Linked DNA regions of Elephas maximus indicus. The protein of the gene in region 2 binds, or shares a complex with, the protein of the main gene of each other region. Links are inferred from orthologs where the notes say so. Each region holds a gene or a part of one and is shown on either strand. Other genes may lie near its edges.

Region 1 (11,079 bases), on a different chromosome or scaffold from region 2:
TTAAGCCTTCATTAAACAGCAAGAAAAGAATTAAAGGCAACTGTAACAGAAGACTCAAAAGCCAAAAGCCAGCCAACTCAGGAACCTGGAACAACACACACATTAAGAGTGATAAAATCACTAAAGTACAGTCTTTTGTTCATACAGATAAGCAAGAACTTAGCACTACTATAAGCCCACACTGGGCCAGGATCTGTGGGAATTCAAAAGGAGTCTGACATGGTCCCTTCCTTACAGTCTAGATGGGAAGACAAAAACTAACTTATATGAAACAATCCTAGAATATTACACTTCGGTGGGTAACTAAATGTGGCATTTTCAGGTACAGACTAAATGCTACAAGAAAGAAGACAAGCGAGTGATTAGAGTAGGCGAAAGAGAGACTTCAAGGGTGTAGGCCTTTAAAGCTGGGTAAGAGGAGGAAGAGGTAAGAAGGTAGCAAGCAAAGATGTGGAATGTGCATGAGAAGGAATCAACACATGAGCCTGGAATAGATGGTTAGGTTGGGAAATAGCCAGAAATACAGTAAGACAGGCTGGGTGGGGCCTAATTATGAAGGGCCTCGAAAAACCACAGACCTCTTTAGCCATTATCCCGAAGCTCTGATAACAGTAAATGCTTAGGCAGCATTTACTGGCATAGGAAATTGGTTTATAATTTTCTTATTCAGAAAACAAACATGTTTAATTGACCAAGTATTTTCACAAACAAGGAGGAGGAGGGGAAAAGACTATCAGTTCTTAAGCACTTACTATGTTCAGGTACTTGATATAAATCATTTCATTTAATCCCAACACACCTGTGAGGTAAATATTATTTTTCCCATTTTATATATGAGGAAACCATGGCTTGAGAGATTAAGCAAGCTGATCACAATGACAAAAGTAGAAACGTTGGAGGCTGGCCTTAAATTCAGGCCTATGTACCTTGTATCACTTTTCATGGCTATGAAAACCCCATTGCATTATGTGCAGCACTGAACGAAAAGAAAAGACCCTACCTTCTCCTGTAGGTTACCCATGTAGCCCAGATACAACCGGATGACCTCAATTAAGGTTACTAGGATGATAATAGTGACCACAATAAATTTGTAGTAATCAGGCAAGATTGGATACTAAAAAAAAAAGAAAGAAACACATTTATAAAATTTCATATGGTAAAACTCACCGAGGATAGAGTAGAATAATTAGAACTTTAATTTTATTGACAGTGTAACAATGCCAGGGATGGGAAGAGACCTCAGCGTCGGTGTTGAAGCGGAGACTTACCTTTATGTGAAGCATCATAACGCTGCTCACCCACCAAAGCGGGAAAAAGTAAGTGTTAAAATAAAGCGACATCTGCAGTGCCAAACTGGAGACCATTTCATCATCTACGGAAGAAAGAGAGAGAAAAGGAACCAACTCTAAATGCTGGTCTATGCCCGGCAAATCCTTTCATTCCTTAGAATTAACAACTATAGTATTGGCTCAACGGAACTCTGTATTTTAAGCCTATTGATAAATCATTGGCAGTGAAAGGAATATTCATCATAATACCATTTAGCTGGTGTTCAAATATTGCCGATTGGGGGTATGCTTCATATTTCTCAATTACTTTACAATTTTGCCATGAGAGTCTGTGGACTCTTCTGCACACTGCTAGTATAGATTAAATGTGGAATAGCAATATGAGACTTCTTGAACAGATACCAATAATTGTCATTATCTCCTTTGTAGAGTTCTATGTTAACAGCCCATAAAATAAAGACATAAAATACATAAAAACTAGTCTCTCACATATAAACTAATCTCTTCCAAAAACTACTCTCCCCAAATTATAATCAGATTCACTACCCTTTCCATCATATTCTAACCCCACCCATCCTTTAATGGCCAATTCAATGTCACTTCCCATAAATCCTCCTTGATCCTGTTCCTCTGCCCTAGCGGAAATCTCCTTCCCCTCTGGGTACTTAGCACTCTAACCTGTGTATGAGATGAGTTAGCAAAGAACCACACTCTCCCAGTTCCAGGCACAGCCCGGTGCACTGAAGAGAACATCGGTGTGAGAGTATGTCATGGATTGAATTATGTCCCCTACAAAATGTGTGTATGAACTTGGTTAAGCCCTGTGTAGTTGTCCTCCATTTTGTGATTTTATGTTCAGAGGATTAGGGTGGGATTGTAACACCACCCTTACTCAGGTCACCTCCCTGATCCAAGGTAAAGGGATTTTCCCTGGGGTGTGGCCTATACCACCTTTTATCTCTCAAGAAATAAAAGAACAGGGAAGCAAGCAGAGAGTGGGGGACCTCCTACCACCAAGAAAGCGGCACCAGGAGCACAATGCGTCCTTTGGACCCAGGGTCCCTGTGCCTGATAAGCTCCTCGACCAACCATGAGAAGACTGAGGACAAGGACTTTCCTCCAGAGCCAATAGAGACAGAAAGCCTTCCTCTGGAGCTGACGCCTTAAATTTGGACTTTTAGCCTACTGTGAGGAAATAAATTTCTCTTTGTTAAAGCCTGCCACTTGTGGTATTTCTGTTACAGCAGCACTAGATGACTAAGACAGAGTCCAACTCAGCTGGACCTCCATTCCCTGACTTTGGATGCCAGACCTGGGATATGTTATTTAACCTCTTTGAGCCTCAATTTCTTCATCTGTAAAATGTTAACATTAAACTGAGCTTGGAAACCCTGGCTGCTAACCAAAAGGTTGGCAGTTTGAATCCACCACGCGCTCCTTCGAAACCGTATGGGACATAGGTCCTATAGGGTTGCTATGAGTCAGAATTGACTCAGCGGCAACAGGTGTACAGTAAAATGACCTTACAGGGTGCTTGTGAGGATTAGAAAGAATAAAAATTATTTCACCCTAGCCCTGTGCCTGGCACTTAGTAGGCACTCAATAAAAAGTAGTACCCTTTCCTTCTCCTCTTCTACCTATACACAGGCTCATCGTGAGCACAGATCATATCCTACTCCAAACTGAAGCCCTCACAGAACCACTGTCTTGCTTTACAACAGTAAATACCAAGCACACCTAACCTGAAAGAACGAATTAACGAATTAACGGAAACAAGCTGTCATAAGGACATTACCAGTGTAGCCATTAGTGAAAAATGAGTTCCATTTATCTAAGCCTGATTACATAATACCTTTTGCTTTTATGTAAAGGAGAAAGGTCCTAAATTAAGAATTTGATTGAAAAAATTGAACCCTACAAAACGCATCCTAAAATTGACTAAATTCTAACAATCTAAGAGCGGACACATATTTTCAAATCAATTGCTCTAAATGCAGGAATTTACAAAGGTTGTAAAATAATTCTTTTAAAAAGGTGGGTTTTTTTTCCTTTTTCTCTACAACTGAGTATTTTTTAATCTGTCATTTAACAAATTTTAAGAAATAGTCATGGTCTCTCATAGCAAGAAGGGTTCACTGAGCTAGAATATGTCTGATGATTATGAACTTTTTAATAGAATTTTTATTGTGGTATTTTTTTTTAAAATTGAAGAATAATGTTTTGTGATGCATGAAACCCATAAGAAATTCAAATCACAGTGTCTACAAATAAAGTTTTATATATGCCCATTCACTTCTTGTCTGTTGTTGCCACAGAAACCACATGGCCCGCAAAGCCTAAAACTTACTACCCGGCCTTTCACAGAAAAACTTGGCTGACCCCTGATTTAAATCACTACCTTGCATAGTCAGGTTTTAGTGTCTGTTAAGCCTCAGCTTTAGTATCAGAAACGAGAAAACCTAATTTTTCATATTATGTCTTTCTCTGTACCTCCCAAATCATAAAGAGGCCTAAAATTTGGGGGAACAGGCAAGTGATCAATGTGACAAACTGCAACTATGGAAACTGCTTTTCTTTGCCACCTTAAAAAAAAAAAATCCTTAAAACCAGTCAGAAGAAAAAGTTTCTATTTCTGAACAGAGTTCAGTGATGAAAACCGAATGGGTTTGGTCAGACAGGATGGTATCTGTCATCAAGATTAGGAGGAAACTGTTTTGGAGGAAACTGCGTTATCACTTGTCATCCTGTTGAATGCAGCACCGTGACTTTGTTACCAGATTTAGGAAAAGAGCTATATATAGTGGAGGAGGAGAAGGCAGGGAAGGGGACAAGTCGAAGGCCGTCTACTGTGGCAGCTGCCACTCTGAAGTGAACAAAGGTTTAAAATGACTCATTAAAAAATGTTTCTTTCATCTCTTCTGCTGGAAAACGTACTTGTGGAGGAAGATGCTTGTCCTGCGGGGAAGAGAGAAAAGGCAAAGGTATTTCCCAGGAGGGCGGGGGTAATGATAACGCCACTTGGGTTGTTTCCCCCGATCCTACCCAGAAAACCTGGGCAGGCGCAGAGGAAAATCAACGTCGGCCTTCGCAAAGGCGCGGGACCCAGCACACGGGGAAGGCAGCTTTTTAATTTTTTTTTTTTTAAGTCTCCTCGCAGGCAGTGCTGCGCCTCATACGACACAAAGGCCCGCGCCAAATCTGCTGCGGCGCTTGCGACGCGCCTCCCGGGCCACAGCGTGAGCCGACCTGGACTGGACCGCGGTCGGGGCCCGGCCCAGCCAAGAAGCCAAAGCGCTCCGCGCACCACGGTGACCTAGCTGAAGGCGGAATCGCCATCTTAGGTGCGGGCAAAATCTGGCTGCTCAAAAAACCCGCGTCAGGCCCTAGGCGGGCCACACCCTCTGCGCTGGGCTTCGGCCACTCACCCGGACCCTCGGTGTACTCCGGCCCGGTCCGGTTGGAGTCGCTGAACACGGTCCGGCTGAAGTTTCCCAGCCGCTGGCGGACCGGATCCGGCAGCTCCATGCTTGGGCCTCAGTACCCCTCGCCCCTCAGATACAGTCGAGTCTGCGGGCGCCGTGGCGCTCTGCGGTCCCCATGGCAACCGGGCGGCGCGAGACGTGGCGGGGCCTGGACACGCGCTCAGGGCGGCACTGCAGGGGCCGAGTCTGCCGAGCCGAGTGTGCGGGTCGCAGCCTGCGCGTGGTGGAGGAGGTGTGTGGAGAGCGCCGCGGTGGTGTTCCGAACGGCAGATTCTTTAGTCCCGTTTAAGCTCCACCATCTTCAAAAACAACAGCCTAATAAGAATAAATGATCTGGGGTTGAATTGTGATGCAAGGATTCCTCACACCTTGCCAGCGTCTGTAAATCGGTGCAATTTTCCTGAAGGGAAATACAGACCGGATGCAGAGCTTAGAGAATGTTCGTGACCCAGTAGCTCCTCTTCTAGGAATTTTATATGTATATACATATGTGTATACATATATGTAATAATGTGCACTGATTAAAAAAAATAATTTGTTTAATAAAAATTATAAATTACGAAAATATGCAACAATGGGGAACTGATTAAATGTATTAGAGCACATACATTCGATGAAGCGCATTGCAGCAGCTTATAAATAACATTGCTGCGAAGAATATTTGATGATATGGATTGACTTGAAAAAAAAAAGTACAGTGAAATAGGAAAGAATGTAATTTAGCAAAATTTGTGTGTAAATGGGGAGCGGGGGAAGGAGAGAGGGCTTGCACACTGGTTAAAAAAAAAGACTGGAAAAAATTACAGAATGTTAACAATGTTATTTCTGGATGGGGGATTCTGGGTGATTTCAACAAGAAAGTTTCTTTAAATATTTCTGTATTTTCCAGCTTTCTCTCAAATAAGATGTATTACTTTAAGTTTTTGTTTTTTAATTAAAATATAATATGTACGTATATAAAAAAATAAAAATAATTTTTTTTTTTATACATACAGAAAAGGACACAAACTGAATTTACACGTGTGTTTAGTAACCGGAGCAAATAGAACCTTACCGGCGCTGTCCTTTTCAGTCACTAAGCTCCCCACTAACCTTTCCCGATCTGTAATAGCATAGAATAATTTCCTGTTTTTATAGTTTATATAAAAGGAACCCTATAGTAAGCACTTTTTTGAGGAGCCCTGGTGGTGCAGGTTAAAGCACTCAGCTGTTAACTGAAAGGTGGGCGGTTCTAACCGCCCTCTGCTCCCCTGGAGATAAATGTGACAGTCCGCTTCCATAAAGATTAAAAAAAAATTTGGAAACCCTGTGGGGCAGTTATACTGTCTTTTAGGGTCACTATGAGAATCGACTCCACTGCAGTGGGTTTTAGGTGCTTTACTTTTTTTTTTTTTTCCGGATCTGGCTCGTGGCCTTCTACGTTCGTTGTTTTTTGTAAAATTCATTTACATGGTTGAGTATGTGTAGTTTCGTTCTCTTTGTGGTGTGTGGCCGTACCACAATGTGTTTATACATTTTACTGTTGACGAACATCTGCGTATGTTTTTCTAGTTTGGGACTGTTATGTTTGGATTTGTGTTGGAGTGGAATTGCTGGGTCATAGGATATGACCCAGCTTTAGTAAACACTCCCAAGCGGTTTTCTAAAGTGGTTGTACCAATTTCTGCTGCCTCCAGCAATGTATGAGCATTCCTGTTGCTGCATATCCTTCACCAACACTTGTTATTTTCCACCCATTTCCTTTTAGCTCTTCTAATGGTTGTGTGGCGAACGGTATTATTATTATTTTTTACAAACAAAAGGAAAACCACATATGTTTATTTAAATGTCAAGAGGAAGGTATGGGAGGAAATGCTAACTTTGTGGCTAGAATTTCATTTTAATTCAACAGATGTTTATTGCATTCCTACTAGTATTGCTTTCCTACAAGGCATTGTACTAGACTAATTAGGAATATAATTCCTCCTCTCAGGAAGCTCAACCCAGTGAGAGGGAGAGATGGAAACAAATAAATACCGTACACTGCTGTAAGTGCTTTAATAAAGGAATGCTGATGAGGAAGTGATTAATTCTGCCAGAGGTCTCAGCTGTCAGGGAAAAACTCACTAATCTGTTTCTCTTTAAGATGTAGCTGAGGCCTCACCACCTCCAAAGATACTCCCAGGATCTCCCTGAAGCTGGCCTAGGTGCCCTCCTCTGTTTCCCAAAGCATTCTTTACTTACTTTAGTCAAGGTGCTGGTCACGCTGTTCATTGTCTGTTCATGTGCCTGCTTCTCTTGCGAGTCCACAAGCTCTTTGAGGTCAGGAATGGGCTTTCATCTGTGTATCTCCCAACACTAGCACAATGCCTGGCCTAGAGTGGGGGCTAGATGCCTGTTGAGTGATAAATAGAAATAAAAGGCCTAATGACCACTCCTATATCTTCCCGGTTCTAGTTAGAGCAACCTCTGCAGTTAACCAGCCTTTGTAAAGCCTACTCTATACGGTGGAGAATTGGTATATTAAAACACAGTGAATTAAAGCAACCAGAAATTAAAAAAAATTTAGCAACAAAGAATCACTTTTTAGCTAATACATGAGCCAAAACTTTCAAAAAGGGTGCAGTAAAGCGAGCTGTTGGGCTGTGGTGGAAAGAATGCCCTTGAAAGCAGAGAGCAGGGTTCAAGTCTCCTAAAATTCTCACTCTATCACCTAATAGTTGTGCGATTGATTTCAGGTTCTTATTTTGTAAAATAGGAATAATGATAATCTTTTTTTTTTCTTTATTGTGCTTTAAGTGAAAGTTTACAAATCAATTCAGCCTCTCGTATAAAAAGTTATATACACCTTGTATATGCTCCTAGCTGCTCTCTCCCTAAAGAGACAGCACACTCCTTCTCTCCACCCTCTATTTCCGTGTCCATTCAGCCAGCTTCTGTCACCCTCTGCCTTCTCATCTCCCCTCCAGACAGGAGCTGGCCACATAGCCTTATGTGTAGAATCTCATTCCTCACCAGTATCGTTTTCTGTCTTATAGTCCAGTCCAATCCCTGTTTGAAGAGTTGGCTTTGGGAATGGTTCCAGTCTTGGGCTAACAGAAGGTCTGGGGACCATTACCTCCGGGTCCTTCTAGTCTCAGTCAGACCATTAATTCTGGTCTTTTGATGAGAATTTGGGGTCTGCATCCCACTGCTCTCCTGCTCCCTCAGGAGTTCTCTGTTGTGTTCCTGTCAGGGCAGTCATCGATGGTAGCTGGGCACCAGCTAGTTCTTCTGGTCTCAGTCTGATGTAGTCTCTGATTTATGTGGTCCTTTCTGTCTCTTGGGCTCATAATTACCTTGTGTCTTTGGTGTTCTTCATTTTCCTTAGCTCCAGGTGAGTTGAGACCAACTGATGCATCTTAGATGGCTGCTTGCTAGAGTTTAAGACCTCGGAGGCCACTCCCCAAGGTGGGATGCAGAATATTTTCTTAATAGATTTTACTATGCCAATTGACCTAGATATCCCCTGAAACCATGGCCCCCAAACCCCCGCCCCTGCCACTCTGGCCTTCGAAGCATTCAGTTCATTCAGGAAACTTTTGGTTTAGTCCAGTTGTACTGACCTCTCCTGTATTGTGTGTTGTCTTTTCCTTCACCTAAAATAGTTCTTGTCTACTATCTGATTAGTGAATACCCGTCTCCCTCCCTCCTTCCCCACTCTTGTAACAATCAAATAATATTTTCTTCTGTGTTTAAACTATTTCTTGAGTTCTTATAATAGTGGTTTCATACATTATTTGTCCTTTTGCAACTAATTTCACTCAGCATAATGCCTTTCAGATTCTTCCACGTTATGAAATGTTTCACAGACTCATCACTGTTCTTTATTGATGCCTTGTTTTCCATTCTGTGAATATACCATAGTTTATTTGTCCATTCGTCCATTGATGGGCACCTTGGTTGCTTCCATCTTTTTGCTATTGTATACAGTGCTGCAATGAACATGGGTGTGCATATATCTGCCCGTGTAAAGGCTCTTAATTCTCTAGGATCTATTCCAAGGACTGGGATTGCTGGATCATATGGTAGTTCCATTTCTAGTTTTTTAAGGAAGTGCCAAATCGGTTTCCATAGTGGTTGTACCATTTTACATTCCCACCAGCAGTGTATAAGTGTTCCAGTCTCTCCACAACCTCTCCAACATTTATTATTTTGTGTTTTTTGGATTAATGCCAGCCTTGTTGGAGTGAGATGGGATCTCATTGTAGTTTTGATTTGAATTTCTCTAATGGCTAATTTTTTTTAATGGCTAATGATCATGAGCATTTCCTCAAGTATCTGTTAGCTACCTGAATGTCTTCTTTAGTGAAGTGCCTGTTCATATCCTTTGCCCGTTTTTAATTGGGTTATTTGTCTTTTTGTAGTTGAGTTTTTGCAGTATCATGTAGATTTTAGAGATTAGACGCCGATCGGAAATGTCATAGCTAAAAACTTTTTCTAGTCTGTAGGTAGTATTTTTACTCTTTTGGTGAAGTTTTTGGATGAGCATAGGTAGGAATAATGATAATTTTACTGAAATAGTTGATGTATAGATTATAATATTAAATAAGGCTCTGTATAAATGAAAACCACATTAAAAAAAAAAAAGTTGCCTTTGAGTTGATTCCGACTCTTTGCGACCCTATAGGGCAGAGTACAGCTGCCCAAAGGGTTTCCAAGGAGTGGCTTGTGGATTCAAACTACCAACCTTTGATTAACAGTCAAGCTCTTAAGCCACTGCCCACCAGAGCTCCAGAACTATCATTACACCTCTACTAAAATGATGTTTATGAAGGAGAAACACCTATGGTGGAGTTAAATCATACCAGCATTTAATTTTCTGAATTCACCTGTATTACCTGCTAGGCAATACCTGTATTGCTTTCCTAGCAAAGGCAGTGGATGAAATTATCCTTAAAATAGTCCGTGCATGATAACCAAATTTATCAAAAGCTTCAGTGAATTCCGTTAAAGATTTTTCCTAGCATTGAAAGAAGAAACGAAACATATTGTTCAGACTGTAATTAGTTCATCAAAATCCTAGAGGAAGAAATTGATGGAATTATGGATATTTTCCTTCTACTTTTATTATCCAAATTTCCTATAATGAGCATGCTTTTCATATTTAGAGAAAGGCCTTATTTAGAAGATAGATTGAGAGGAAGAGGCAGTAATGGTGCAGAAACACATTAGAGAAGAGAGTTTTGAGAGGAAAAAAGTGTGGAAAGAATTCTGCCATTACTGCTGTGGCAAATGGTCCAAAGGGCTCAAAAAGCTTTCCAAATATTATTTTGATAGTTGATTCTCACAGTATGCATAGGTAATCACATTAGGGAAATATTGAAGAACAGAGAGAGAATTCATTTTCGCAAAATTAAGAGGCTAATACAATTTGGGTCTCCCATTTTTGCATCCATTACTACCTCAGGCTCTAAAGACAGAAGTATGGAGTTGCCATTCTTAGAATCATAGGAATCATTCCCAGCAAGATTAATATAAGATTAATATATAACCCTATAAAGTTAAACTGTTTACTTTCTAGACCAATGTTGAGGTTCACAGTAATAACTTCTTCAATAATTTTTTAATGTATTTCATTGTGGTTTAACTACATTTATGGTTTACTTTCTTATATATCTATTTTCACAAAAATGGTGCGGGTGCCACAATGGTTTGTTTTTCTTTGACAAGAGGCGAAGTTATCTTGTAATGATATATTATTATCTTATAGGACAAGAAATTAACTTGGGGAGTTATTTAAATTATTCTTTGGCATAATAAAGATACAAATTCTTTCACTTGATGCTAATAAGAAGTTTAGATATAATATTACTTAATGACTGTGTTATTCAATTTATTGCCTTAAAATGAACTATGAGATATTTCTCAGAATTTAGATAATTTTAAAAGATAAATTATATATTTGGGTAGAATATCTTCAAATATAATTCTACGTCAGCATCCACAATAAAAAAATCTTATTCGAAATTACCTGAAACATAATCTTATCGTCCTCAAATTGTTAACAGATAATCAAAAGCTTTTTGAATTCCTGGTAGAATATATTCCATTCACAGCACTTCACAAAAGTTTATAAGAAAGAGTCAGGCTATGAATTATGTAGAAAATACCTTATGAAGAGAATTTTTCATACTGTGTTTGGTGACATTTCAAGGACGACTTTGATATTTTGTCCTCGAAGACATACCCATTGAGAATTTTTATTAGAAAATTATTTGCCTTTTAAAATGCTGTTTATTATACACATGAATTTGGTTCTTGGGCATTTCTTTGTGTCTGCCTATGAC
Region 2 (10,682 bases):
TTCCTCTTTTTTGCTGACCGTCTACTTTACCAAGCATGATGTCCTTCTCCAGGGACTGATCCCTCCTGAAAAGTTGTCCAAAGTATGTGAGACACAGTCTCAACCTTCTTGCTTCTAAGGAGCATTCCGGTTGTACTTCTTCCAAGACACATTTGTTCGTTCTCTTGGCAGTCCATGGTATATTCAGTATTCTCCACTAACTCCACAATTCAAAGGCATCAATTCTTCTTCAGTCTTCCTTATTCATCGTCCAGCTTTTCCATGCCAGTGATCCAATAGAAAACATCATGGCATAGTCCTCAAGGTGACATCTTGGCTTTTCAACACTTTAAAGAGGTCTTTTGCAGCAGATTCGCCCAATGCAATGCATCCTTTGAGTTCTTGACTGCTGCTTCCATGAGTGTTGATTGTGGACCCAAGTAAAATGAAACCCTTGACAACTTCACTCTTTTCTCTGTTTATCATGATGTTGCTTTCTGGTCCAGTTGTAAGGATTTTTGTTTTCTTTATGTTGAGGAACAATCCACACTGAAGGCTGTGGTCTTTGATTTTTATCAGTAAGTGTTTCAAGTCCTCTTCACTTTCAGCAAGCAAGGTTGTGTCATCTGCATAATGCAGGTTGTTAATGAATCTTCCTCCAGTCTTGATGCCCCGTTTTTCTTCATATAGTCTAATTTCTCAAATTATTTGCTCAGCATATAGATTGAATAGGTATGGTGAAGGGATACAACCCTGTTGCACACCTTTCCTGAATTTAAACCACTCAGCATCTCCTTGTTCTGTTGGAAGGACTGCCTCTTGATCCGTGTACAGGTTGCTCATGAGCACAATTAAGTATTCTAGAATTCCCATTCTTCGCAATGTCCTCCAAAATTTGTTATGATCCACACAGTCAAATGCCTGTGAAGTAGATACTATTATTCTCTAGTTTACAGATGAAAATAATCAAAGGCTCGGGAACATTATGTGACTTACTCATGCTCACACAGCTAGTAAAGGGGATAACCAAATTTCAAACTTAAAACCCATTGCTGTTGAGTCGATTCCAACTCATAGCGACCCTATAGGACAGAGTAGAACTGCCCCCGTAGAGTTTCCAAGGAGCGCCTGGTGGATTCAAACTGCCAACCTTTTGAGTAGTAGCTGTAGCACTTAACCACTATGCCACCAGGGTTTCAAACTTAGAGCTGTTCTATTCCAAAATTGTGTTCTCTTTTCAAAGTTATCTAATTTTAATTTTTATCAAAACCACAGGTGTGTATAATTTAAGAAGGCATATTACTATTTTGTACTTCTCTGCCTCTCTCTGTCTCTGTCTTTCTCTCTCTCTATATATGTAGCCCTAGTGGTGTATTGGTTAAGAGCTTGGCTGTAACAAAAAAGTCGGCAGTTCATATTCACCAGCTGCTCCTTAGATACCCTATGGGGCAGTTCTACTCTGTCCTACAGGGTTGCTAGAGTTGGAGCCAACTTGATGGCGCATAACAACAACAACAACAACTATATATATATTATATATATACATACACATATTTTTTGTTGGACCTCTTGGTGCTTAGCAAATTCCCAGGCACAGTGCAGGTAACACAGAGTTGGAGCCAACTTGATGGCGCATAACAACAACAACAACAACTATATATATATTATATATATACATACACATATTTTTTGTTGGACCTCTTGGTGCTTAGCAAATTCCCAGGCACAGTGCAGGTAACACAGAAAACACAGAAGTAACTGTTAAATCGATAGAATCATAAAGTGTCCCCAAAGAGACACACGCCAATTCAGCTCAGCCCATTGATAGTTTGGATTGTATGATCCTATGAAGATACCATGGTTTCCTCACGTTTGAGTTGTCCAGATGAGAAAACATGGTAGAAGAAAGTCCTGTTAGCCAATGTGATCAAGATGGATAGGTGGTTGTTTAAGCAAATAAAGTCTGCTAGTATAAGAAATCACACAAGAAATCTATCTGTCCCCTAATTACTTATTATTTATCTAAAACATGTAAATATATGCATTTATTCATCAGTCTTGTTGCGTAGGGCTAAGACCTTTTTTGGTCCTCTAAATACAGCAGACTTTGGCTTCTTGGATAAATTGCACCTGTTATGCACCGTGGTTGATTTCCAGTCTTGTTCCTTTAGTCTCTAGATGCTAGTAAAAAAAATTTAGTAAGGGCATCTTCTTAAATTTTATAAGATCCCTCCACCCTCCTTATCCCCAGTATTTTAAAGTGGTTCTTGACCACTTGACATGTGGTTGTTTTTAGCTGCCTTCAGGTCAGCTCTGACTCATGGTGATCCCATCTTCAACCGAATGAAATGCTGTCCAATTCTGTGCCATCTTCACTGGTATGTGTGAATCCCTTGTTGTGGCCACTGTGTATTTTGTATGTCTTTCAAGCTAGGGGCTTATCTTCCAGCACTATATCAGACAATATTCTGCTGTGATCCAAAATGTGTTCATTGGCTAATTTTCAAAAGTAGATCTCCCGGCCTTTATTTCTAGTCTGTCTTAGTCTGGAAGCTCACGGAAACCCATTCACCATAGGTACTTGAAATACTATTGGTATGGTTTTTACCATCATAGCAACGTACAAACTACCACAGTATGAAAAACTGACAGACGGGTGATGACAGATTCTAGATGCTGGTGAAGCAGTTTTAGTGAAGGCACCGTTTTAGGGTTATGAACACCCACTCCCCCACCCCCCGTATTTTAAAGTGGGTCTTGCTCACTTGACAAACATGGCAGTAAACAATAACAATTCATTGACTCAATTTGTTATCAAGTCTTGGCAAAGTTCTTACAGAAAAAAAATATCTTGGGGCTTGTATGAGTTTTCTATCGCTCTTGTGACAAATCACCACAAATTTAGTGATTTTAAAGGAACTCAAATATATGATGTTACACTTCCATAGGTTAGAAATCCAGCACAGGTCCCATGGCTGAAATCAAGATGTCAGCAGGGCCATGTTCCTTTCTGGAGGCTCTAGGGGAGCACCCACTTCCTTGCTGTCAGCTTTCCTTGGCATGTGACTCCATTTTCCCATCTTCAAAGCCCACAAAGTCAGGTGGAGTCCTTCTCATGCTGCTGTCTTTCTGGTTCCTAACTTCTGCCAGCCTTTTCCACTTTTAAGGAGCCTTGTGTTTACACATGGAGTTTCTGGGTGGTGCAAAGAGCTAAGCCCTTGGCTACTAACCAAAAGATTGGAGATATGAACCTACCCAGGGGCATCTCAGAGGAAAGTCCTGGCAATCTGCTCCCAAAAGCTCACAGCCATGAAAGCCTTATGAAGTACCATTCTACTCTGACTCATGTAGGGTTGCTATTAGTAAGAATTGACTCTACAGAACTAGTTTTTCTTTTTCTGGTGATTATATTGGGCCCACCTGGATAATCCAGGACAATCTTTTTATTTTAATGTCTCATGATTAAAACCAAACTTGTTGCTGTCAAGTCGATTCCAACTCATAGTGACCCTATAGGACAGAGTAGAATTGCCCCATAGGGTTTCCAAGGAGCACATGGTGGATTCAAACTGTTGACCTTTTGGTTAGCAGATATAGCTCTTAACCACTGCGCCACCAGGGCTTCCGTCTCCTGATTAGGAACCTTAACGCCATCTGCAACCTTAATTTCTCTTTGCCATGTAACCTAACATATTCACCAGTTCTGGGGATTAGGATGTGGGGCACCTTTAGGGGCCATCATTCTGCCTACCATAGAGCTCATACTTGTTTTACCTTAGTTTATATTCTACTAAGCAGTTTACATAATTGCAAGTGTAAATTGGGGTTGGGGGCAAACAGTACTGACCCCTGGTCAGTGTAACACTCAGATGTCAGGAGTAGAAGTTCATATGAAAAGCAGCCTATGAGCTGGAAGTATACAGCTGCCTTGGGCATCATTTGGTATATTTTAAAAAGAGAATGGAGAATTCTGGATAAGCCAGCCAGTTGATGAAGAACAGGTGGGATAAGAGGGCTTCTACTGTGAATTCTTACTTTAGCCACATCAGAAAAGACCAGTCACTAGACAAGGAATTATGTTTGGTAAAGTAGAGGGCCAGTGAAAATGAAGGAAATCCTCAAAGACATGGATTGGCACCAATAGCCACAACAATGGATCCAAACATACCAATAATCAGGAAGATGGCACCAGAATAGGCAACGTTTTGTTCTGTTATACAAAAGGTCGCCCTGAGTCTGAGCTGACTGATGGCAGTTAACAGCAATTGCGAATTCAATCTTTCCTCTTCCAAAGGATTTTAAGTGAACTTCTCTTAAAGCCAACGTTCAGAACCCGAAAGCCACACGTAGAATTAAATTGTAAGCAAATGTAACAATGTGTGGGTATATGTGCATTTTTCTGGTTAGGGAATCTGGCTTTCTTCACATCCGAAAAAGTTTTTGACCCAGGAAAGATGAAACATTTACCATGATCAGCCCTCTGTTTTTGTTATTTGGGTACAACCCATTTCCATGATTAAATTGTCCATCCTTGAGACTTACATAGTGGGAATATATCAGAGAGATTTTTCAACTAAACCACAGCACTTACCACTATGCCTGGCATACAGTTCGTGCTCAATAAATATTAATTTATTTCTAAGGTAAACCTTTGCCTCTGTGAGTTGAACACTTGCAGATTTAACAAGTTTACCAGATTGTTTTAGTTTCAGTCATTCTATTCCAAAGAAGCGAAATATGTTTATAATCACATACTACTTACGGTGCTTCTTGCCAAGGAGCGTCACTTCATCCTTTAAGAGGAAAAAAAGCCGAACTTGTATTTTAAAACTTGTTTTGGAATTTTGAAGAGCTGTTCCAGTGTTCTGCGGTTAGATCGTACTTACGCCTCCAGTTGTATTCTGCTCTGTAGTCCCAGAGTTGGCACCAACGACTTGTTGAAAATATTATCAGTGGTAAGAGACCTACTACTGAGAATTTTATTAACACAAAAGAGGGCCTGTAAGAAGTTTACTGATTATAAACTTTTTCTGTCTAAAAATTTAAATTAAAAAAAAAAAAAAAAACTTGTTGCTGTTTTGAGTTGGTTTCTGACTTATAGTAACCCCATAGGACAGAGTAGAACTGCCCCATAGGGTTTCCAAGGCTGTCAATCTTTACAGACGCGTATGCCACGTGTTTCGGCTGGTGGGTTCAAACCACTGAACACTGGTGGGTTTCAGTTAGCAGCCAAGCTCTTAACCACTGCGCTGCCAGGCTCCTCCCAGAAATTTAAATAGGCTGACCACTTACTCATTGGATTTGTGAATTAAAGCACTGAAATTCTCTCCATTCCAACAACAGGGGAATTTCTGGCTTTTGCTTCTCCTGTGACTTCTCCCTGGAGCTGAGAACACTGTCATGCAATATGTTTACAATTACTGAATTGTGGGGGACTTGTTTCTCAAGTGTGTGTGTTTCAGTAATACTGACTGGCACACCACCTCCTCAGTCTTGGAAGAGTCTAACGTTTTTTTCTTCTTTAGTGCTGAGAATTCTGGGATCATCAACCAAGAATTGGATGGGACCTTAGGGGACGCCACACCCAGCCTACCATCCACTGCATGGCTCCTTCTGCAGCATTGTGTTTCAAGCTTTCTTAAACTGCAAATCATTTTAAGAAGTAAGTTTTATACCACAACCGAGTGTGTGCGCACACACATACATATACATTTAAAACATAGTTTTCAGGAAACATTACTTACCCTTACTACAGATACTATGTACTGATAGTTTCAATTTTATTCTTTTTTTTTTTTTTCTGTTCTATTGGGTTCTAATCTAATATATAACATATGAAGACATTGGTGGTAAAGTGGTAGAATTCTTGCCACCCATGTGGAAGGCCTGGATTCTGTTCCTGGCCAACACACTTCATATGCAGCCATCACCCCCCTGTCAGTGGAGGCTTGCATGTTGCTCTGGTGCTGAACATATTTCAGGAGAGCTTCCAGACTAAGATGGACTAGGAAGAAAGATCTGGCAATTCACCTCTGAAAATAAGCCAATGAAAATTCTATGGATCACAATGGTCCGATCCACAACCGATCATGGAGGTGGGACAGCACTGGACAGCATTTCATTCCATCTGTGCCCAGGGTCACCAAGTCTACAGCAGCTAACAATAACAACAACAATATATAACATATAATATAAAATATGTGATATAGACCGATGCCGGTTGTGTACCCTCTAAATTGATTTCATATCTTACTAATCTGTTGCAAGAAGCCCTAGTGGTGCAACGTTTAAGTGCTCAGCTGCTAACCAAAATGTCGGCTGTTCAAACGCACCAGCCACTCTGCAGGAGAAAAGACCTGGTAATCTGCTCCTGTAGATTATAGCCTTGGAAACCCCATGGGCAGCTCTGCTCTGTCCTATAGGGTTGCTATGAGTCGGAATCAGCTCTACAGCACACAACGACAACAGCAACGTGTTGCAGCCCACAGTTTGAAAACATGGAACAGCCAAATTCCTGGCAGATTTTTGGTCGTCCAGTCTTCATTTGAACAATTTCACCATTGAGCAGTTTAATATCTTATGAATGGTATTCATACATCTGATAATTTTTGAACAACTGGCTTTAAAGATGTCAATTTATGTTGTGTCCTCTCCTAGACTTTGTAATAAAGCACTATCTGCCTTCAAGAAATGTTCCCTACGGGTCAGGCTTGAACTGGGTGTGGCCTGAATCTCATGTTCTGGGGTAAACCATGTGGCCAATAAGACTCCCAGGGTTCTTCCCTACAGTTAGGGCTTCCCCTCATTCTACGTAACTTTAGGATTTTAATTGCTACCACTCTCAATTGAATTTTCATTTTTCTAATGTGAAGATTCCCTCAAAATTTGTGGTCAATCTGATTTAAAAAGTTTTAGGGATGCTGATGACATGGTCCAATGTCTACTTACAACATTTATGTTATTAATTGCTATACACATATATATTTTAGAAACAATATTATATAAAATTATATATCGATTTAGGATTATTGATTTTTTTCCTACTATTGCATTTCATGAAACAACTTTATTTAATTCACCATGCGCCTCTTTGATGTTAGTTTTTGGCCCTCTCTAGATTAACTTTTGAGTTGCCTAAGAAATACTTCATTCCCGTCTAAGCACATTGACACCGTTCCTATCTAATTTGTTTGAGATTCAAAACTCTTTGGATACATGATGCTGTCGCTGTAAATTTTATCCAAACCATCAATACCTATTTGCATAGTTTTTCTTTCTTTCTTCATGTGTAATATTTACATGGCAATTATGTTTCTTTGTAACAACCTTGTTTTTGTTGTTGAGTGCTGTCGATTCTGACTCATAGTGACCCCATGTGACAGAGTAGAACTGCCCCATAGGATTTTTTTTTTCTTTCACTGTAATTTTTACAGAAGCAGATCTCCAGGTCTTTCTCCCATGGAGCCTCTGTGTGGGTTTGTTGAGCTATAAACCACATATCAAACAATTCACCCATTCAATGGCTTTTAGTATATTCACGGAGTTGTGCAACAGTGACCACAATCAATTTTAGAACATTTTAATCATCCTCCAAAGAAACCCCATAACCACTAGCAGTTACTTCCCAATCCCCCTAAACCCCTATCTCTAGGCAACCATTTCTGTCTCGGTAGATTTGCCTATTTTGGACGTATGAATGGAATCACACATGTGGTTATTTACGCCTGGCTTCTTTTACTTAGCATAATGTTTTCAAGGTTCACATGTTGTAGCATGTACTGGGGCTTCATTTCTCTTTGTTTAAATTTGATTTTAAAGTAATCTTTAAAAGGATTGTCTAAAATGATACTCACTTCTTCCATCAGGAAGGTCATGCCCACCCAGAAATGATTACTAAATCTGTGTTAAATTCCTTTTTCTCTTTTTAAAAACTCAATTCTGTCTGATGACCTTCATGACTATGAAAATCAGTGTTAAATGCATACATTTCAAGCTAAAGTATCTTGACAAGTGTAATGTGTTTTGTTCCAAATAAAGTAATGAGAATGACATCTGTAATATGAAAGACTTTATAAACGCCTGAAAATAGTGCCTGTCTTAGTTACCTAGTGCTACCATAACAGAAATACCACAAGTGGATGGCTTTAACAAAGAGAAATTTATTTTCTCCCAGTCTAGCAGGCTAGAAGTCCAAATTCAGGGCGTCAGCTCCAGGGGAAGGCCTTCTCTCTGTTGGCCCTGGAGGAAGATCCTTCTCATCAATCTTCCCCTGGACTAGGAGCTTCTCTGTGCAGGAACCCCCGATCCAAAGGATGCACTTAATTCCTGGTGCTACTTTTTTGGTGGTATGAGGTCTCTCTGCTCACTTCTCTCTTTTATATCTCAATAGAGATTGGCTCAAGACAAAAACCAACCTTGTAGATTGAACCCTGCCTCATTAACATAACTGCCACCTATCTCACCTCATTAACGTCATAGAGGTAGAATTTGCAACACATAGGAAAATCACATCAGATGACAAAATGGTAGACAATCACACAATACTGAGAATCATGGCCTAGAAAAATTGATACACATATTTTGGGGGGACACAATTCAGTCCATAACAGTGCCTCTCCCTTGGTTCTGAGTAATAATTTAGGGGAAATTTACTGTATCTTTAGGCATATATAGTATATAGTAGATATAAAAGGAGTTGTGTTATCTTATCCTCAACAAGAGAAGAGAAAATAGTATTTTTTTAAACATGTATCAAAGACCAGGCACTTTACTTGGCACTCTCTATATATTATCTTATTTAATCTTCACAGCACCTTATGAGACAGGAAATACTATCTTCATTTTATGAATGAGGAAGTTGAGTATTTCTGGTGAGAAAGCAGGTAGGGGAGCCTGTAGTCCCACTTGCTCAGACTTTCCTTGTACATGGTCTCCAATTTCCCCTTTTCTATCAGTCTGAATTCACACAATATACATTTCATTGATCATGAAGGTCAGTCAAGAGTTCCATGGCTCCAAACCTTGTACTATATGACAATAGTAAGTTCACAAGCCCCATGACAGGGACATATAGTTGACATGCTCTGATACACTCCCCAGCCTTCCTTCTAGTTAGGACAGAACCATATTACTTGTGCTGTCAAATGGCTGTGAATAGAAGTGGAATTGCGTTGGAAGTAGTGATGGATGGTGAAAGCTTTCAGACCCCACTCCTTCTCTGAAAGGACCCTAAAATCAGGTGACGAGCTGAGATAATCACAAAATATTGGTGCTTTCATAAGACCGGCTCCTCGAGGGATCCAGGGGAATAGAGCCTGCTCACAAACCTGCACTGGACACTTGGCATAAATAATAAAATAACTGTGTGTGCGTGTGTGTGTGTAGTCATGACATTCTAGGGTCAATTTTTTACCATAACATAACCTAGCCTACCTTGACTCATACATATATTAAAGTTCATTTCCTTTAGTTCAACCAGCTTTTACTGGTAAACTACTAGGTGGGCTAATAAAAATGTGGACTTGATAAGTGTTGGGATCTCTGAGGGAGGGGCCTTAGGGTTTTCACTGGCTAATTTTTCAGAATTAGATCACCAGGACTTTCTTCTTTGTCTGTCCTAATCTGGAAGCTCTCTTGAAACCTGTCCATCATAGGTGGCCCTGTTGGTATTTGAAATAATTGTGGCACAGCTTCCACCACAATAGCAACATGCAAGCCACCATAGTATGACAAACTGACAGATGGGTGGTGGAAAACAACCAGAATGTTCCTTAGAAGAAAGGACAGCAAGACTTCAATTAGCTTACTTTAGACATGTCATCAGGAAAGACCAGTCGCTAGAAAAGGACATCATGTTTGGTAAAGTAGAGATTCAGGGAAAAGAGGGAAACCCTCAGTGAGATGGGCTGACACAATAGCAGGAACAATGGACTCAGACAAACCAGTGATCATGAGGATGGACAACACTTTGTTCTGTTATACGTAAGGTTGCCATGAGTAGGAGCCGACTCAATGGAAACTAAAACCAGTAGGGAGAGGCCAATAAATCACTTTTTAAAAAAATGAATAAAGCTTATATTGGAAAACCAGTTAAGTGGGATTCATAATACAAACTTCAGGATGAGAAAGGCTGAACCTCCCAGCCACAGGTGGCATTCTTCATTTTTGTCACAGAGAAGTAAGTGCTCATTGAAGAAAAATTATTCCTCAGAGAAAGGGAAGAAGACCTCCCTTTTTTATTCTAAACTTTCCAAGCAGAGAGTCAGTTGATAACCCCAAAGGAAGAGGACAAAGGGTGAGAGTGCTACACCAATAACAAACCAAAACCAAACCCGTTGCCGTCAGGTTGATTCCAACTCACGGTGACTCTATAAGACAGAGTAGAGCTGCCCCATATGGTTTCCAAGGAGTGCCCGGCAGAGTCAAACCGCCAACGCTTTGGCTAGCAGCCGTAGCTCTTAACCACAACACCACCCCCTCCCCAAAAATGCCTATTTTATCTGATCCTCATAAAAAAGCTTAAGAGGCAGACACCTTTATTGCTCCTATTTTACGGGTGAGGTTATTGAGGTTTATATATGGGAAGCGACTTGCTCAAGGCCACTTAGCTAATAGCTAGCACAGCTAGGATTCAAGCCCCAATTTATCCAATTTCATATGCTCTTATTCCTCCTTCACGGGAAAGATGAGGTTAGAAGGAATTG
Region 3 (10,265 bases), on a different chromosome or scaffold from region 2:
ATGGTAACCCAGAAAGGGCATCGGACTAGACTCACAGAGTATGGGGTCTGGACCCATCTCTGCCCCAAAGTCACTGTGAAACCCAAAGGTACAACATCCCTGGCACCCAGTTCTCTTACTTGAAAAATGGGCAAGCTGGTCTAGATGATTTCTTATTTACAGTCCTGTTATTCTAAGGCATGGGGTTGAGGAAAAGTCAGCCTAGAGGAAGAGACCTGGTTTGAGTTCATCTCACCCTGTTCTGGTCAGTCCCTACATTCAGCAGCCACGAGAATTATTTTCACTTAAGTATGTGCTGAAGTTGTCACTTTCAAACTGGTGTAGCTGCACATTTCCTGAGAGCAGGGTCCCCAGCTTCTTAAGGGCCTATGACCCAGAACAGAATATGAACCACTGCCTGGGAATTTAAAAGTTAGGACAGATTAAGGGCTTTTGAAGGATCTTATCAACTAGGAGCATGAAGTGAAGCCAAGAGAAGGAATGTCAGTGTCCACTAACCCTTTCCTAGTGGCCACTCTTCCTCTCCTCACCTGTAGGGTCCTTTGAGGCCAGTGAAGTCAGGTTTTACTGTGATCACACCATTGCTGTCTACCTTCAGAGTACAGAGGACCTGTTCATACTTCTTATAGCCAAGCCTAGAAACCAGGAAATCAACATCAAAGTTCAGGATCCCCAGTCCCAGTTCCAGGGAAAGAACAAGAAGGAGTCAGCTCCCATCAGCAGGGGAGGACAGAGATCTGTGGTAAGAAAACTTTCTGCCAAGTACAACTAAGAAGAAAAAGTCCTTCTCTCTCATGTGCCCAGCGATGACTCTAACAGGAAGGTGATGGTCAGTGTGAGCAGAAGAGGATGAGGGCCTGAGTAGGTGGTATGAAGCTTTACTCACTTTCCATAGGGCCCCAGGTCTGCCATGATGTACATTGTCTGAAGAGGGGTGTTAATAACGTGGTTGTTCCTGACGAACTCTTCTGAGGGTTCCCAGGTGACGATGCGTGACTTGAGGATGCCGCCCTCCCTGGGAGACACCACACGAAGGGTCACTTGCCCAGCAGCCCCTGAAGATCACACTCCAGGTGGAGGCCCGTTCCAGAATGGGAGACTCGAGACAGTGGACGTACTGAGAATGTTGGCATGGCAGGACCACAAAGACCCCCATCCCCCAGCGCCCATACACACTTGCACTCACATCCCTCGCCTGTCCTGCCGCCGCCGCCTGACATTTGCCATTCGCTCGACCAAGAAAGATGGTACCTCGTTGGTTGCGGTGGTCATTTTCTGACAGTGCTAAGGAAAGAGAGCAGCCCTGTGTGACCCATCTGATCAGGGCCACATGGAACCAAGAGACTTCCAGAGGGGAAGTCTTCCTTCTGAAGCCCCATCTGTGACTGAACTAAAAAAAAACCAAAAAACAGGTATAGCCACCTCAAAATTATATATGCTAACGGAGGGAAGCAGTAGCCCAAACAACCCAAAGAAAATTCCCCTAGGCCTATGATTTTGGTAGCATATTATCCTGCAGAAATGAGTCTATACAGGCTAATATTAAAATCAGCCTAACATTCCCTGAGAACATACCAATAAAAAGTTGGGTGAGTTTGCCTAGTTAAAGTTTAACTAGGTGGTTTAAAGATGCCAGATGGGATAAAAGCATTTTGTGGAAAATCCTCATACGGTTAATAGAGCACTAACTGCATTTTCACCTGCTTTTCCAGCACAAACAACTCAAATTCTACATGCTACCAACACATGAAAGCATGCCCATCTTTCAAAAGCAATCATTTAACACCTGCTCTTTGCAGAGATCTACAAGGTCATAGAGAAAAATAAAAAATGCAGGCTCTACCCTCCACCAGCTTAAACTTTCCCTAAGAAGACAGAACACATCATGCAGTGACTGGAGAAAATATAAAAAAACCCACAAGGGTATGTTAACATAGGTGCATTGGAGACCTAAGGCCCCTCCCATGGCTGTACTGAATTCCTCTCCAAACCCATATGGTCAGAGATTTGGCTGAATACCCTGATGCATTTTATCTAGGTTGTTCCAGACTCCACTCACCTGGCTCATTTCATGATTCAAGCAGGAATTCAAGCCCAGTGGCTGCTTCTTCAGTTGGCAGTCTACAAGGCTATCACTAAAGACACTGGTCCCTGCTAGCTCCCTGGCCCTCCAGAAGGCAAACAAGGCAGCAGCAGCCACACCACCTGCAGACTGTGCCCTCTCTACTCCAGTGTGGCTGCCAGCAGCATGCAGGAGCTCTAGGATGGCTACCTGTCTCCCCTTAACAGGCTTCTGATTTAGCACACAGAACCCACTGAGGCCAGAAAGCTGGGGGACGCAAAGTGGAAGAAGGGAGCTATGGGACCTCGGAATGAACGATACCTCCTCCAAGTTGGTGTATCTATCGGAGTCGGTATAGGTAAAGATTCGCCGGTTCTTCCTGCCACCTGAATCCTCCAGCTTCAGGATCTCTTGACGGTACTGGTGATCCAAAGGGCTCTGACAGGCTGCTTCATTTTGGTACAGATCTACCTCAAACTGAGGTCACCACAAGGAAACAAAAATCTACTGAGGATACTTGAAACTTTTGTTCCTGTAACTTTTTAATCAAATTATTTCTATAGAACTGATGCTATTTGACATGTTTTCAGAACCTAAGCTAATGGTCGGCAGGGGATTCAAAAAAAGGAACCAGGGTGACATTCTAATGCAACTCTTCTGCTACAGATGGCATGTGGCCCAGAGATGATACGTGCTGTACCCAAGATCATAAAACTTAGTGGCAGTCAGAATTTGACCCAATAAACACAACAAGGGACAGTATACACTGTTACAACCTTTCCCAAAATCAGTTTGGCAGTATGTATCAATAATCTTCAAAGTAATATTTTAATCCAGTTATTCCACTTCCAAGAATCTTATCTGAGAAAATAATCAGAGAATCAGATGAGGCTTAATACAAAGATCTCACTGAAACACTGTTTAAAATTAGTGATGTGGGTCTATCAGCAAAGCCCTGACCTGGGGAGCCGTGTTGGCAGCAGCCTCTCTTTCAAAGATGGGGATCTCTTTCCCTGTTGCCAGCCAGGTGGAGATGGGCCAGATGGAAGTACACTGAGCTGACACGTGACACTGGCTCACCTGGCTAAAGAGCTTCTCCTGCCACCCGATCACAACCTCCTCCTCTTCATCTTCATCTGGGCGATGACCACCTTCAAACACAACAGAGTGAGTCAACTGCTTGAGCCAAACCAAGGCCACTGTGGTTGGTTATAACCAAAGCCTCTGCTCTTATATTTACGACAAATCCAGCTGGAGTTCAGTGATTTATTAAGTACTCACTCTGACAGAAACTAGTGAGGCTGAATATGTGCTCTGGTTAGTATGTGCAGAAACCAGGATTAGAACCCAAGAAATCTTAACCACTACTCTAATTTGAATAAAAGGTGGTCCTGCCTTCCAAGTATTATTAAATCTAAGTCAGTGTCAGGGACTGAAATTTAAATATAAGCTGAACAGCCCTTCCTCAATCTCAACAGCCTGCATTTGCTAGAAAAGAATCCTGAAGCGATGTATTTAGAAACACAAACTCTGTAACCTTAAGAGGCTGAGGCGGGAAGAAGAAAGTCAAATAAATGATTTTTTTTTTAAAGAGCAAAACCTAATCCACTCCTGGCTGAGTATGTCTTTTTCAGAGACACAGTTCACAACCCACCAGCCCATGCTCTTGCTCAGGAATATTTCTCAACAGAAGCACAACAAAAGCACAGCGACTAGTGACTTAACACAAGCACTCTCCTCTGTCCTCACTCTTCTGGCTTCCCAGACAAGAAAAACCGCAAGAGCACAGTTGATGTTAATATGTACATTTGTCTAGCAGTAAAGTTGAGGACTATTTTAAAGTCCTCAACTTTAAAATAGTTTATGCATGTGTTTAGAGTTAGGACATATTTTCTTTTAGAAAAAAAAATTGTTTCAAATGGTATTTAGGCTGCCAGGCAAATCTATAACATATCAAAAATAAGGTTATTTGTTATTTCACTACAGATGACCACAATTCACATCAGTAACTTGATGGCAGGAATCACAGTGTAGTGCCTAAAATTGCCAGGCTTCAAACACTGGCTCTGACATTAACCAGCTGCAGGACCTTCACAAGAAACCCAACCTCTCTGTGCCTTAGCTTCCTCATCTGTAAAAAGGCTGCTGTCAAAAAGTAGACCTGGGTCTACTCTGTCGTAAGAGGTAAGTCTACCACCCCAGGCCCTTCCCTCAGGTCCCCAGGAGGGCCTGCATCACCACATAACACCCACTGGCGGTTGGTTGGGGCCTAAAAGTGGCCAAGTCTATGAGGTCCTTCCCGGGCTGGGTGGCAGGCTGGTAATGGAGAAAGTTGCCTGATGTAATTCTTTGCAGGTGGACTCTGTCAGGAAAAGAGACGTCCAAAATACGCGTTACAAGGCACACAACTAGAAGATAAACACAGAGCAAGTATGGAAAAAGCAAAACACTGAGCAGGGTGGGGCTGCCAAGGTGTGTTAGGTGCAGAAGACTGAAGGGAGGTGAGTGAGACACGAGGCTCTCAGGGGAAAGGTGAAAACAAGAGGGCGTATTGAGGACTCAGGGCTCCGAGGAATTTGGGTAGTACAGAGACTGAAGAGGACTGCGTGAGTCTGGAAACTGTGCTGGAAGGCTCGGGGTGGAGAAGGGTTGAGGTAGTGCGATGAGATGTGGGAAGATGAAGATGTGGCGAGGATTGTAAGCGGAAGTGGGGGCCTCAGAACATTGAGTTCAGGCTCGAATTATCTGAGGGGATAAAAGCACGGAGCCCAGGTGCCGGGGCAGTGCTACTACCGGAGGCGCAAGTTGCGCACGGGGTCCCGGGAGCGGTACACGGCCTCGCCGGTGTCAGAGCTCCAGACGGCCTCCGCCATGACGGCTGTGCTGCGCCGCGACTGCGCCGGAAAGCGCGCCGCCCCTAGTTCCCCTGGCAACCGAGACGCTGAGTCCCGAAGGTCGCCGAGCCGCTGCGTGCGCAACTCACTGTTCCCGCCGCGGCCTGCAGCAACGCAACGCCTGTGGTCAGCATGCCCGTTTCGTATAGATGAAGAATGGTCATGGAGACGAGGCTCGGGTGATCTCAGCCACTACTCTTTCCCCTGTACCGCACTGCCTTCCACGGAGCACACGAAAGCTGTGACCTGAAAATCGGTTACTGTGACTCAAAGAGTGCACCCCCTCTTCCCAAAAGAGCTAGGGCAGGTGGTGGCATTTACTTAGACACGAAAAGATATTCTTGGAAGAAAAAACAAGTGCCAAGAGACTTATTAGTCGCTGTGTTAGTATTCACTGAGATAGAGAAAGAGAAAACAAGGAAGTTAATAGTCAGGAAAGAAAAGATGTTATTGAATTGGTTTGTCCCTGTGAATGTTAAGTCACTTTAGAAACTGCACTGGCCTCCTGAAAGGCCAACAAAATGTCCTTCAGGAGTCATGCTTCATTGGCCTAGCAAAGGAGGCAGGGCACACCATGGCCTCAAGTCTGGCTCCCTGGCACCTTGGGGATGTCAATATTTATCACTGTTTGACATCTGCCACTCCACCAACAGAATAAGTAATTGTCCCCAGAACTCAGAAACCTCATGCCACTGGGAACTCTGGGTGGCATTTCTGCTCTTGTGTAACATCAAGGACTCACCATAATAATAAACCGGCCAAACCAAACTCATTGCCATCGACTTGATTCCGACTCATAGCAACCCTATAGAACAGAGTTAGAAATGCCCATAGGGTTTCCAAGGCTGTAATCTTTAAGGAAGCAGATTGCCACATCTTTCTCTGATGGTGCGGCTGATGGCTTCAAACCTTTTAGTTAACAGCCTAACCACTGCACCACCAGGGCTCCTTAAAATTACAGTCATTGAAAACCCTATGGAGTGAAGTTCTACTCTGAAACACATGCAATTGCCATGAGTGGAATGAACTCAGCAGGGGGTGAGGGTCTAATATAGCTTGGGCACTTGGTTTGCATTGTTCCTATGCAAGGTGTCCTAGAAACCCCTCAAGTAGGTATTGTTATTCCCACTTAACAGGTGAAGTTCGTGAAGGCTTGCTAAGATTGAACTACTAGTGAATGGTGAAGGAGCTGAGATTCTAGCTCAGGTTTGTCCGGATTCTGAGGCCTGAACGCCATCCATGTGCCTCACAGCCTTTCACCTACTGGTTCATTCCATAAGAGCACACGGTTTCCAACCTGGGAATAATTATTTCAACAGATGAAACCATGGAGACAGAATACTAGCTCCTAAAAAAAAAGGTCACTTTGATTTTTCCTTTTAAAGTTGTGAATGGATAACACTTATCACCCCAATAACAAACGATAAGGTAGAACTGCATCAACAGTTTAGTGTTATAAACAAACTTACAGCAAAGTCAATCTGACACAATTATATGCAAAATAGTTACCGTACCACCGAAGCCAAAAAAACCCATTGCCATCAAGTAAATTCCTATTCACAGCCACCCTGTAGAGCAGAGTAGAACTGTCCCGTAGGGTTTCTAAGGCTGTAATCTTTACAGAAGCAGACTACCACATCTTTCCCCTGCAGAGCAGCTGGTAAGTTCAAACTGCCAACCTTTCATTTAGCAGCCAAGTGCTTAACCACTTCACCACCAGGGCTCCTTACTATACCACCAAACCAAAAACCAAACCCAGTGCCATCGAGTTGATTCCAACTCATAGCGATGCTATAGGACAGAGTAGAACTACCCCATAGAGTTTCCAAGGAGCGCCTGGCGGATTTGAACTGCTGACCCTTTGGTTAGCAGCCGTAACACTTAACCACTATGCCACCAGGGTTTCCTACTATACCACAGGGTATGGAAATATACGCTATTTGTATGAGTGATCATAACTAGTATTATTTTTATACAGGTAAACTTAGTTTTTACGTTTTCTCCTTGTTTACTAAATCCATTGCAGTTGAGTTGATTCCAACTCATAGCGACCTTATAGGACAGAGTAGTACTGCCTGTTAGGGTTTCCAAGGAGCTGCTGGTGGATTTGAACTGCCAACCTTTTGGTTAGCAGCCAAACACTTAACCACTGTGCCACCAGGGGCTTTGTTTACTGGCATTATTTGGAAAGAGTTCATGACTTTTATCAGATCGCTGGAAGGAGTTTTTACCCTGATGTGAAGAATGGCCTGATTACCACTATCCAAACCCATTGCCGTCAAGTCAATTCTGGCTCGTAGCGACCCTGTAGGACAGAGTAGAACTGCCCCATAGAGTTTCCAAGGAGTGCCTGGTAGATTCAAACTGCCAACCTTTTGGTTAGCAGCCATAGCACTTAACCGCTATGCCACCAGGGTTTCCGACTACCACTATAATTATACAAAATTTACTAAAAGTAAAATCTCAATAATTTTCAAGAGAAAAGGCAATCAGCATATGCCAGCTTCAAGAGGACCCAGATATCAGACTAATCAGACAAGGGTTTTAACTATCATAGCCATGCTCTACTGTGGGCACTAAGGACAAACACTCTTGAAAAAAAATAGAAAGAAATTCTCAGCAGAGAAATAGAAACTATAAGAAAAGAAACAAATGGAATTTTATAACTGAAATAAAAATTCACTGGATGGGCTCAATAGCACAGTGGAGGTGGCACAGGAAAGTCAGTAAACACAAAGATAGGTAAATAGAAAATATACAATCTAAGGAGCAGAGAGAGAAAAAAGATTGAAAAAAATTAAGAGTTTCAGAAACCTGTGAGAAAATATCAAAAGTCTTAACATTCGTGACATTGGACTCCTAGAAGGACAGGAGAAAGAGTGTGGCAGAAAAAATATTTGAGGAAATAATAGCTGAAATTCTACCAAATTTGATAAAAGACGTAAATTTACAGATTCAAGAATGTCAATGAATCCTGAATAGGAGAAATTCAAAGAAATTGTTTAGGGAATATAGTGAAAGAAAAAGGGCTGGAATAGCCAAAACAATTTTGAAAAGAAAAATGAAGTTGGAGAGCTCACACAACCTGAACTGAAACTTACTATCAAGCTATAGTAATGAACACAGTATGGCATTGGTGAAAAGACAGAAACATAAATCAATGAAACAGACTGGAGAGTCAAGAAATAGACCCACACAAATAGAGTCAATAAGTTTTGACAAAGGTGCAAGGGAAATTCAATGCATAAAGTATAGCCTTTTCAACAAATGATGCTGGATGATGGACTTAAATGTCCATAGGCAAAAAAATGAAACTCAACTCATACTTCACACCTTATACAAAAGATAACTTGAAATGTACCTGAATGTAAAGCATAAAACATCTAGAGGAAAACATAGGAGAAAATCTTTGTGCAATTAGATCAGACAAAGAATTTTTAGATATGACAACAAAAGCGGGATCCATAAAAGAAAAACAAGAAAAATTGGAATTCATCAAAATTGAAAAAGTTGCTCTGCAAAAGACATTGTTAAGACAATGAAAAGACAAGCCACACAGTGGGAGAAAATATTTGCACTGGAAGAAAATACTTGCCTTATCACATATCTGTCCAAGACTTGTATCCAGAATATAAAAAGAAGTCTGAAAACTCAACAGTAAGAAAACAAACAACCCAATTAGAAAATGGGCAAAAGACCTGAACAGAGACTTTGCAAAGACATATGAATGTCAAATAAGTACATGAAAAGATACTCAGCATAATTAATCATCAGGAAATGCAAATTAAAACCACAAAGAGATGGTGGTTGGTGGTTGGAACCCATCCAGCTCTTCCGTGGGAGAAAGACCTGACAATCTGCTCCCGTAAAGATTACAGCCTAGAAAACCCTATGGGACAGTTCTACTGTGTCACACGAGGTCGCTATGAGTTGAAATTGACTCAATAGCACCTAACAACAACAACAATCAAGCTTATGAGTCCCTGGGTGGCACAAACAGTTAAGTACTTAATTACTAGCTGAAAAGTTGGCGGTTTGAATCCACCCAGACAGGGCTGGCAATCTGCTTTCGGGATAGCAGTCTTGAAAACTCTATGGAGCAGTTTTACTCTCATAGGATCACCATGAGTCAGAATCAGCTCAACAGTAACTAACATCAGTAACATCTAGAATATATAAAGAGCTCTTACAAATCAACAATAAAAGGGCAAATAAAAATATCAATAATCGTAAAAGTAAAAAAATAATGGCAAAGGATTTGAATAGACATTCCTCCAAAGAAGATATACAAGTGGCCCATAAGCACACAGAAATATGCTCAATATCATTAGTCATCATAGAAATACAAATCAAAACCACAATGAGATACCATTTTGCATCCATTAGAATGGTTATAATCAAAAGACAGATAGTAACTATATTCGTGAAAATGTGGAGAAATTGGAACCCTCGAGCTTTGCTGATGGGAACGTAAAATGGTGAAGCCACTTTGGAGAACAGTCTGGCAGTTCCTCAAAAGGTTAAAAAGAGTTACCCAGCAATTCCACTTTCAGGTATTTACCTAAGAGAATTGAAAAACATTCTGGAGGTCCCTGCTGGAGAGTCCCATAACCTGGGTCTGTGATGGATTAATGAATCCAAACAAAACTCGTATGCAAAAGTTTATAGCAGTATTATTCATAATAGCCAAAAAGTAGAAACAACCCAACTGTCTATCAACTGATGAAAGGTTAAGCAAAATGTGGTATATCCATACAATGGAATATTATTCCATCATGAAAAGAATAAAGTACTAATATATGATGTAACATGGTAGAACCTTGAAAACATGCTAAGTGAAAGAAGCCAGATGTGAAAGGCCACATATTGTATGATTCCGTTTACATGAAATTTCACACTAGTAAAATCCACAGAGACGGAAAATAGATAAGTGCTTGCCAGGGAGTGAGAGGGAGAGGAAATGAAGAGCGACGGCTAATAGGTACAAAGTTTCTTTTTTTTTTTTTTTTTGGCAAGGTTTCTTTTTGAGGTGAGAAAAATGTTTTGGAATTAGATCATGATAATTGTTGTACATGGAGCCCTGGTGGTGCAGTGGTTAAGCAGTCTAGCTGTTAACTGAAAGGTCGGCAGTTCAAACCCATCAGCTGCTCTATAGGAGAAAGATGTAGCAGTCTGCTTCTTTAAAGATTACAGCCTTGGAAACCCTATGGAGCAGTTCTACTCTATCTTGTAAGCAATAAGTTGGAATTGACTCAACGGCAATGGGTTTCCTTTTTTTTTTTTTTGGTTTAATATTTGCACAATTTTGT

The links.
Region 1: CC2D2A (region 2) and TMEM17 share a complex: the UniProt entries of both Homo sapiens proteins name them as parts of the tectonic-like complex. The link is inferred for Elephas maximus indicus from reciprocal best matches to the Homo sapiens genes CC2D2A and TMEM17.
Region 3: CC2D2A (region 2) and MKS1 share a complex: the UniProt entries of both Homo sapiens proteins name them as parts of the tectonic-like complex. The link is inferred for Elephas maximus indicus from reciprocal best matches to the Homo sapiens genes CC2D2A and MKS1.

The regions. Positions count from the first base shown.
Region 1 is NC_064835.1:74,243,472-74,254,550, reverse strand, and holds the start of TMEM17 (transmembrane protein 17), read right to left. Parts: upstream 5,159-11,079; 5' UTR 4,815-5,158; coding exon 4,715-4,814; intron 1,373-4,714; coding exon 1,269-1,372; intron 1,115-1,268; coding exon 1,001-1,114; intron 86-1,000; coding exon 1-85. UniProt on the Homo sapiens protein: Transmembrane component of the tectonic-like complex, a complex localized at the transition zone of primary cilia and acting as a barrier that prevents diffusion of transmembrane proteins between the cilia and plasma membranes.
Region 2 is NC_064823.1:150,138,888-150,149,569, forward strand, and holds the start of CC2D2A (coiled-coil and C2 domain-containing protein 2A), read right to left. Parts: upstream 4,905-10,682; 5' UTR 4,866-4,904; intron 4,773-4,865; 5' UTR 4,742-4,772; intron 1-4,741. UniProt on the Homo sapiens protein: Component of the tectonic-like complex, a complex localized at the transition zone of primary cilia and acting as a barrier that prevents diffusion of transmembrane proteins between the cilia and plasma membranes.
Region 3 is NC_064837.1:35,808,215-35,818,479, reverse strand, and holds the start of MKS1 (tectonic-like complex member MKS1), read right to left. Parts: upstream 5,265-10,265; 5' UTR 4,936-5,264; coding exon 4,856-4,935; intron 4,425-4,855; coding exon 4,315-4,424; intron 3,214-4,314; coding exon 3,143-3,213; intron 2,540-3,142; coding exon 2,384-2,539; intron 1,285-2,383; coding exon 1,187-1,284; intron 1,016-1,186; coding exon 887-1,015; intron 636-886; coding exon 531-635; intron 1-530. UniProt on the Homo sapiens protein: Component of the tectonic-like complex, a complex localized at the transition zone of primary cilia and acting as a barrier that prevents diffusion of transmembrane proteins between the cilia and plasma membranes.